2 linked regions of the Arabidopsis thaliana genome follow. The protein of the gene in region 1 interacts with the protein of each later gene in a pairwise test. Each region holds a gene or a part of one and is shown on either strand. Other genes may lie near its edges.

The links. Proteins that work in one complex are often made in the same cells at the same time.
Region 2: the proteins of AT5G15040 (region 1) and NF-YA8 interact in a two-hybrid assay, tested with the Arabidopsis thaliana proteins (one large-scale study listed by BioGRID).

What each region holds. Positions count from the first base shown.
Region 1 is NC_003076.8:4,868,707-4,872,823, reverse strand, and holds AT5G15040 (Paired amphipathic helix (PAH2) superfamily protein), read left to right. Parts: upstream 1-2,082; 5' UTR 2,083-2,335; intron 2,336-2,548; 5' UTR 2,549-2,570; coding exon 2,571-2,677; intron 2,678-2,759; coding exon 2,760-2,916; 3' UTR 2,917-3,070; downstream 3,071-4,117. Other genes in the region: AT5G15050 (Core-2/I-branching beta-1,6-N-acetylglucosaminyltransferase family protein), read left to right, coding at 56-131, 215-330, 490-1,004; AT5G15030 (paired amphipathic helix Sin3-like protein), read left to right, coding at 3,781-3,800, 3,981-4,064.
Region 2 is NC_003070.9:6,049,224-6,054,687, reverse strand, and holds NF-YA8 (nuclear factor Y, subunit A8), read left to right. Parts: upstream 1-2,059; 5' UTR 2,060-2,284; exon of another isoform or gene 2,285-2,635; 5' UTR 2,636-2,703; coding exon 2,704-2,986; intron 2,987-3,136; coding exon 3,137-3,237; intron 3,238-3,318; coding exon 3,319-3,393; intron 3,394-3,600; coding exon 3,601-3,756; intron 3,757-3,835; coding exon 3,836-4,207; 3' UTR 4,208-4,524; downstream 4,525-5,464. Other genes in the region: AT1G17600 (Disease resistance protein (TIR-NBS-LRR class) family), read left to right, coding at 1-183, 308-1,399, 1,474-1,662; MYA1 (myosin 1), read right to left, coding at 5,379-5,464. UniProt on the Arabidopsis thaliana protein: Stimulates the transcription of various genes by recognizing and binding to a CCAAT motif in promoters.

The DNA of each region.
Region 1 (4,117 bases):
TGTTTATTGTTTTAATTGAATCATTTGAGGTTTATTATGTCGATTCGATTTTCAGATCTGTTGCATACGTTTTCGTATCTTCCTCGAGATCTCAATTTCATCGATCATACAAGCAACATTGGCTGGAAAGAGTGAGTTTAGCTAGCTACATTACAATCTACAACAGTTTGTTTTTGGCAACTTTCTCTGATAATTTTGGTAAAAACTTGTATAGGTCTCATAGAGCAAAGCCTATAATTATTGATCCTGGTTTGTATATGTCAAAGAAAGCTGATGTTTTCTGGGTTTCACAGAAGAGAAGTATGCCTACAGCTTTCAAACTCTTCACAGGTGCTTTCATTTTTCATAATCTTTCCTGTTTTGGGTAATCAACATAATGGGAATGTCTAAATGTAGAGTCTTCCTTAAATGTAGGATCCTTGTTACACTCATTGATGTGATATAACAATTCTTAGGCTCTAATGGTTTTTTGATGTTGTTGGTTAATAGGATCTGCGTGGATGATGTTATCTAGACCTTTTGTGGATTATTTCATATGGGGATGGGATAATCTTCCTCGAATTGTGTTAATGTATTACGCAAACTTCCTTTCATCGCCAGAAGGTTACTTCCACACTGTGATTTGCAATGCTCGAGAGTTTACCAACACAACGGTTAACAGTGACTTACATTTCATCTCATGGGACAATCCTCCAAAGCAACATCCTCACCATCTTACATTAGATGATTTCCAGAGAATGGTGGACAGTAACGCTCCTTTTGCTAGGAAATTCCGTAGAGATGAGCCTGTTCTCGATAAGATTGATTCGGAACTATTGTTTCGGAGTCACGGGATGGTCACTCCGGGTGGTTGGTGTATTGGTACGAGGGAAAACGGGAGCGATCCGTGTGCGGTGATTGGTGATACGTCGGTTATTAAACCTGGTCTTGGAGCTAAACGGATCGAGAAACTCATAACTTATTTGTTATCTACTGAGAATTTCAGACCACGGCAATGCCGGTAATGGCAAATTAGAGTTTTGTCATAGAGATGGTTACGTGGTTTTTCACACAAATGAACTGTATTGATTATCCGATACTTTGATATGGTTGTATAGAGATCTTTTTGGACTTTCTTCATTTGAGAAAGTGCAGAAATTTCGGGAAAGATCATTGATTATTGGAATTTGTCTTCTATTGCCGACCTAAAGTTTGGCCTTTTCCAACTTGATACCAATTTTATAGGTTTGTCACATATTAGTCATGTCCTTTTTATTGTTTGCATGATGAAGTTACCTGACTATTGTGACTAACATATAGGTGTTTCATTGATATTATTGCTTTTGAATTAATTTGATACATGATTCAATAACTCACATTGATATTGTTGTTTTAAATTTATAGATATACACCCATGTGACTAAGTGCAAATTACATGAGGGCCTATTGATGGTCACTACTCATTCCATGTGACTGACTGGTGGCAAAGATTTGGTTTGAATTTGATTTATCAAATGTTTTGGAAATATTATATTACTCAAGAAGTCAAGATTATATTACTTCTGCTCTGATTTTTTATTATCAAAGATTCTTAATGATAAACAAAAATCTCTAAAAGTCTGACATGTAAAATTTATTCAAAAAATCATCATAGCAGAAGCAAGAAGCTTATCAAATGAACATAGTAAAATGTCACAAAAATATATATAATGGCTCTCATTCAAAGCTGTCACATAACATTAAATATATATTTCATTAAAATGTCACAAAAATAGCAGAAGCAAAAATATATTTATATTTCTAACAAGAATCCATATCGAATACTGACAAATAAACAATTGAGAACAGAGTTTGGTCTAAAATTCTCAGTCACGGTTTCATATACGGACCAATTGTGGCAGTATTTGCTCATCAACTGAAACTGTAACAAAATATCCATATTAGTAAATATAAAACAAAGAAGAAATGCAGATGAATACTTACAATAAGGCCTAACCTCGACCTATAAAAGCCCATTATTAATTTAGGCCCAACGACGTTACGAAGAGAAACGTACGGCACCATTTGGCGCCTTTATTTATAATTTGTTTGTCATGCGTTGTGATTTGGGTCTCTTCTCATCACAAGTCGCAACGCTTAATCGTATCTGCCTAGAACATTTTCTGGTACATGTATGTATAATCGTCGGTGATGGAAGTGTTTCTTCTTCTAGATTCTGCTCTCGCTTCAAAGATCTGATTGATTTGTTTCATATCTTTCCAAGTAACCTCTCTAATTGTTTATCTTTTGTTTATCCCTGATGCAATAAACGTTCCAAGCGGACTCCTGATGCAATAAACGTTCCAAGGTCTCGAAGGTTAGTTTCCTAATCTTTAAGTGTGTTGGTGCTATCGTGGGTTGTTTTTGGGCTACTTGTTGCTTGTCTAAAGATAACTGTAAACTTTCAAAACTTGCGACTCTCTGAATTCCTCTTTTGGCTTGTGGGCGAATTGTTAGTTTTCTTTATTACGTGAATGTGTAGGAACATGTTATAATGTCTGTCTCTATTGTTCTTTGGGTTTTGGTGCAGGCATGGAAGAAGAAGAGACATTATGGCTGAATGTAGGGCATACTTTATGGAAGTGAAAGATACGTTTCATGATCAAATTGAAAAATATGATATGTTCAAGAATATTTTGTTAGATTTGAAGGCACGAAGGTAAGATGATTGCTTTTTTTTTTTTTTTGGTTTAGCCTTAAGGTTTTGATGAGTTTGCTCAAAGAATTTCTTGCATTCACAGGATTGGTCGTCATACTGCGTTTGCTCAATTGAAAGAGTTGTTCAAGGAGCACAACGAATTGATTATCGGATTTAACACCTTTTTGCCAACTGGATACAAGATAGCTCTTGATGATGACGTAGAAGACTCTTTTAGCTCGACTGCAAGAAACTATTGAAATTATCTTGTCATATTTTTTCTACTCAAATGATACGATCAAAATCTCTAAATTAGTCTCTCTATTCAGTTCTTGATGGTTTATCGAGTATCTTTGCTTTGCCATGCATGTAGGAATTTCACTATGATAAAGTTTGACCTTTTGCTATCTTCTTTACGTCCACTTAATTTCTTTATTTACTTAATTTGACCTTCGGCAAAAGCATTATTATCTACTTATTATTTTTTATTCTTAATGAAAAAAAAAACTGAAGTATATATGAAATTTGTAATATTCTAACGAGAAGTTAAAATCATAGATTGAAAAAAGAACTATATTGAGATCATAGTTTGATTGTTACAAATACTAAAAATCATTAAGAATTTCTTCATCATATCGTTGCAGTATTTTCTCATCAACTGATACAATAACAATTCAAAAAAAAAGTGAAAACGATTTTATTCCTTTTTATTAATGTTTATTTTTTAGCTGTCAAATAAAAGAGAGAGCATATTCTACAGAACTTCAGGGATGAAAAAAGGCCTCTTTATATATATAGCCTTACACTATGATCACATTGGTTCTACAGTATGATGTTACAAATACTAAAAATCACAAAGATTTCTCTCCATCATATTGTTGCTGTATTTGCTGATCAAATGTAACCAAAAATATCCAAAAAGTCAAATATTAAAACAAAGAAAATAAGAATAGCGAGATGAATACTTAAATAAGGCCTAACTACGGCCTATAAAAGCCCATTATTTATTATAGGCCCAAATAAGTTACGAAGAGATGGCACCATTTGGCGCCTTTATTTATATCTCGTTCGTCATTCCTGATTTTTGCACTATTCTCATCACAAGTCGCAACGCTTCATCGGAAATGCCTGGATATTTCATAACGTATGCATAATCTTCGGTGATTGAAGTGTTTCTTATTCTCGATTATGCTTTACTTCAAAGATCTGATTGATTCGTTTCATATTCTCGATTATGCTCTCACTTCAAAGATCTGATTGATTTGTTTCATATCTTTTTTTTTAATTATATAAAGCGTTAACTGTTTTTTACTTTTCCCTGTAGAATCTCTCTAATTGTTGATGTTTTGATTAGTCATGAAGAAACGGAGCGGACTCCTGATGAAATAGTCGTGCCAAGGTCTCCAAGGTTAGTTTCCTAATCGTGAAGTGTGTTGATAATCGTTGGTTGTTTAAACGCAT
Region 2 (5,464 bases), on another chromosome or scaffold:
GTAGATTACAGAGAGTCGAATCTGCAACTCATTCCAGACCAACCGTTCCTGCCTCGTAGCCTACGGCTATTCCATTGGGATGCATTTCCATTGAGAGCCCTGCCTTCCGGTTCTGATCCATGTTTTCTTGTTGAACTCAATCTGCGTCACAGTGATTTAGAAACTCTCTGGAGTGGAACACCGGTAATCTTTTCTATGATTCTGCATCTTGTGTTTGTGTTTTTGATAGAGCAATGGTGTGAAAACAGAGAATCCTTGCGAGAAACATAATTCCAACTATTTCCATGTGTTGTTGTATCTTGCTCAGATGTTGAAGAGTTTGAAGAGACTAGATGTGACGGGATCTAAGCATCTCAAGCAACTTCCAGATCTTTCAAGTATCACGAGTCTTGAGGAATTGCTTCTGGAACAATGCACGAGACTGGAGGGCATTCCAGAGTGTATTGGAAAAAGGTCTACCTTAAAGAAGCTTAAGCTATCCTACCGTGGAGGGCGTAGAAGTGCCCTGCGGTTTTTTCTACGAAAATCTACAAGGCAGCAACATATTGGATTGGAGTTCCCAGACGCAAAAGTGAAAATGGATGCACTTATAAACATATCGATTGGGGGAGACATTACTTTTGAGTTTCGTTCAAAATTTAGAGGATATGCTGAATACGTCTCTTTTAATTCTGAGCAACAGATACCCATTATATCGGCGATGAGTCTGCAACAAGCACCTTGGGTCATCTCAGAGTGCAACAGATTCAATTCCCTCCGCATCATGAGGTTCAGCCACAAAGAAAACGGTGAATCTTTCTCCTTTGACGTCTTTCCAGATTTTCCCGACCTGAAAGAGCTAAAACTAGTGAACTTAAACATCAGGAAAATCCCATCTGGGATTTGTCACCTGGATTTACTAGAGAAGCTGGACCTCAGCGGAAATGATTTTGAGAACTTACCAGAAGCTATGAGTAGCCTTTCCCGGTTAAAAACTCTCTGGCTTCAAAACTGCTTTAAGCTCCAGGAGTTGCCAAAGCTAACTCAGGTGCAGACACTTACACTTACCAACTGTAGGAACCTTAGATCATTGGCGAAACTATCTAACACAAGTCAAGATGAGGGAAGATACTGTTTGCTTGAGCTTTGCCTTGAAAATTGCAAGAGTGTTGAATCATTGTCAGATCAGCTTAGTCATTTCACCAAGTTGACATGTTTAGATCTCAGCAACCATGATTTTGAGACATTGCCATCAAGCATCAGAGATCTTACCTCATTGGTAACACTTTGCCTCAATAACTGCAAGAAACTCAAATCGGTGGAAAAACTTCCCTTGTCTCTCCAATTTCTCGATGCACACGGCTGTGATTCTCTCGAAGCTGGTTCTGCAGAACATTTTGAGGACATACCAAACAAGGAGGTGAATACTTGGCTCTTGATCCGTCTCTACTATGATTGATGTAGTTACCCTTTATCATCTCCCTTCTTTTATAGGCACATACACGAAATGACTACTTCCAAGAAACTGAGATGTCGAGTTATGTACTGAAAACTCAAGCCACAAGAAATCGCCAAACCATCCGCCTTCCCAAGATCACACATGCGGTTATGTATGTAGGCATCCCTATCTGCATCACGCTAGTGGCTGCTCTTGTGATTTTACTCCTGCGTGTTTTCAAGTGAAACTCAAGACTCAGCAACAGCTTCCTCAAGACTTAAACTGTGTGCTTTCTTCTGTAATTTACCAGGTAGTAACAAACTTACTACATTTCAAGTCTCCCTTGCTTCTGCTTCTCTCTCTCTTTTCCACTCGCATTTTGGAACTGAGTTCCACTATATCCAAAGAACGCTTCAAGATTTTGTCCATAAACACAAAGAGTAGGCAGATTAGCTTTGCTTTAGATGCTTCAGCTGCCATATAGTTGCTCACTAGATTAGGCTTTTGACGATAGTTTTACTTTGTAAAGTGGATAGGCAGATAACTAGATAAGTGTTTACTTTGTTAAGTGAACAAAATAATAAGTCAATAAGATTAGAAAACTAATATATTAATTAAGCATTAAAAATACTAATGAAGGTGGCGGTACTGCTAATAATGGAGCTGGTGATTTTGTTGGAAAGGTAATGACTTTATAAGAGAGAAAATTGTGAGTGACGGAAATGAAGCATCAAAAGAATACACACACACACATACACACTGTTGAGTATCTATCTGAGAGAATAAGCAAAAGAGAAAAGAGATTTACTTTGTTTTGATAGGCATCCCTTGAGTTCCTGTTCTTCATCTCTTCCTTGAATCCGTAAGGTCTCTCTATCTCCTTCTCTTTGAATCCGTCATTTCTTCGCTTTTTTTTAGAGTGATGTGCTGATTCGGAAATCTTCTGGAAATTTCTTCCCAAGTCAACGCCTTTTAGGACGAAAGTAATGGTGCTGATTTTAGTTGGTCGGAACTTTACTTTTTTTTCTGCCGCGCTCTTCTAATAGTTTGCCCGAAATAGTTCTGAATGTTGCTCTGTTTCTGGGTTTTTTTCCCTTTTTGGATTATCCCCTTCTTTGTCTACTACATCGTCAAAGGTTTTGCTGTTTCCAGGAATAAATATCTTTTGAAAGTTTTATCATTTATAAAGATGTTCTGAATTTGGAGCTTCTTTGACAGACACATGTATCATCAATCTTCTCTGTTGAAGCAGAGAGAGAGAGAGCTAATTGTTGCCTCTGAGTCACATGGATAAGAAAGTTTCATTTACTAGCTCTGTGGCACATTCAACTCCACCATACCTTAGTACTTCCATCTCATGGGGACTTCCAACCAAATCCAATGGTGTGACTGAATCACTGAGTTTGAAGGTGGTAGATGCAAGACCAGAACGTCTTATAAACACAAAGAATATCAGTTTCCAGGACCAGGATTCATCTTCAACTCTGTCCTCTGCTCAATCTTCTAACGATGTTACAAGTAGTGGAGATGATAACCCCTCAAGACAAATCTCATTTTTAGCACATTCAGGTCCGTTTTAAACAACTTTGGGTTCTAGACAACTCACTATGATCTATTATGTTGAAGACGCATGGTGTTTTAGCTTGATCTTTGGTCCCATTTACGAAAGAATCCATCCCTTTGTCCTGAAAATGTTATCTTTCGCTCTCTTTCTTTCAGATGTTTGTAAAGGATTTGAAGAAACTCAAAGGAAGCGATTTGCAATTAAATCAGGCTCCTCCACGGCAGGAATCGCTGATATTCACTCTTCTCCTTCCAAGGTACCCGTATATCTACTACGAGTGACGATAAGCAGTACTTGTGATTGTTTACTGACATCTTGTGTTATACTCTGGTTTCAGGCTAACTTCTCATTTCACTATGCCGATCCACATTTTGGTGGTTTAATGCCTGCGGCTTACCTACCACAGGCAACAGTAAGTATATCCTCCTTGATTACATATGGTGAGGAGAATATTTATGCTAAACCTCATTTTTACTTAAGGTGGACTTGTTATGTAACATTATGCTCTGAAGTAGTTACATATACAGCTATAGAAAGAAATGCCATCCTTAAATGGTGAATTAGTCTTGCAATTTATTTCTCCATTTGAGATTTCAGTTTGCTTAAAAACTTTCTGCAGATATGGAATCCCCAAATGACTCGAGTTCCGCTACCATTCGATCTCATAGAGAATGAGCCTGTCTTTGTCAATGCAAAGCAATTCCATGCAATTATGAGGAGGAGGCAACAGCGTGCTAAGCTAGAGGCGCAAAACAAACTAATCAAAGCCCGTAAGGTATAGTATTTTGGTCAGCGTTTCGGTATCTTACTTTGGTTTAATGACTAAACATAACTCATTATCAAATATCATACAGCCGTATCTTCATGAATCTCGACATGTTCACGCTCTTAAACGACCTAGAGGATCTGGTGGAAGATTCCTAAACACCAAAAAGCTTCAAGAATCTACAGATCCAAAACAAGACATGCCAATCCAACAGCAACACGCAACGGGAAACATGTCAAGATTTGTGCTTTATCAGTTGCAGAACAGCAATGACTGTGATTGTTCAACCACTTCTCGCTCTGACATCACATCTGCTTCTGACAGCGTTAATCTCTTTGGACACTCTGAATTTCTGATATCAGATTGCCCATCTCAGACAAACCCAACAATGTATGTTCATGGTCAATCAAATGACATGCATGGAGGTAGGAACACACACCATTTCTCTGTCCATATCTGAGCCGGTGGAATCTGGTAATGTGTACGTTCCTACAAAAAAAGGGAAGTCATCCTTGGCTGCTACTTCGCTTATTAGCTAGTTCTTATTTCACACGCTTTGTCCAGATATCATTTGAATGACCAAAAACCTTCAAGCTTCAACTCTTTACTTTTCGTCTGTCGTTTGTACCATGGATCATCGTGTGTTAAGTCAGTGATTGGATTGGAGTGATGAATGTAAATGTAAATCTGATAACCGATAAGTCTCTGCTCTTTGCTTATTCATAGTTAGTAAAGCTAAACCAGATTCATACACTCCATTCCGGTGTTGTTTATATCATATATCATAGTCATAGAACACATTGACTAGAAGCGCAGCTTGGTCCCAATCCTCTGTAACAAGCCGTCCAACCACCTTCCCCGACCAAGTTTCTAACCGTCTGTAGATAGTCAGACTGCAGTTCCTATCGTTACTACTACTACTATTACTATCTTCCACATTTAGAACCTGCAGTCTAGTCTTTAATTATGTCACTGTAATCAAAGCGGAGACACTACCAGCAATGGCGGCAGTAACACCTTGAACAAATGTTCCCTAAACGCTTTTCTGTCTGAGTACCCCCGAGTTACAATCACTAGCAGTGTATTTATACACAAAGGGAATATCTCTTAACACAGATATGTTTCCAAAAACATACAAACATAACTAAAGACTAGACTGTAAAGGATGACGGGAAATTGCAATGTTTCTTTTGCAACACGTTTTCACCACGTGTCGATGTTGTTGACACATTAACTAACGCAAGAGTTATCCTTCTTTTGATCTTTTCCTTGATGTAATACTTTGGGCTTCAATTTTGGGCTTCAACTTTGGCCTTGTAAACTTGTTTGGATCAGTCAATAAAGAACAATAGTGACAAAAAAAAAAACTAATAATTTGAAAAATGATAAACAAAGTAAAATTCATTAAGCAAATGGCCTATCAACGCATGGACACAACAAATATTTAGTTCACATATATATATTTTTTCCTACCCAATATACCCCTATTAATAGTAGAACAGTACCAGAAAGCCACTGGCAAAGATAGGCATATGTACTAATGTACAGGCTTTGTTTTTGAAAGCACAATACTGATCTCCTAATCTGAAAATGTCCTAGCGATCGATCGGGTATAGGGAACTTTGACTACTTCAATCTGACCTTTCCAACAAGAACATGAAGTTGGAGTTTTGGCGGATCAACGGAGGAGGATCAACCTCTGCAACCTCTACGTTTT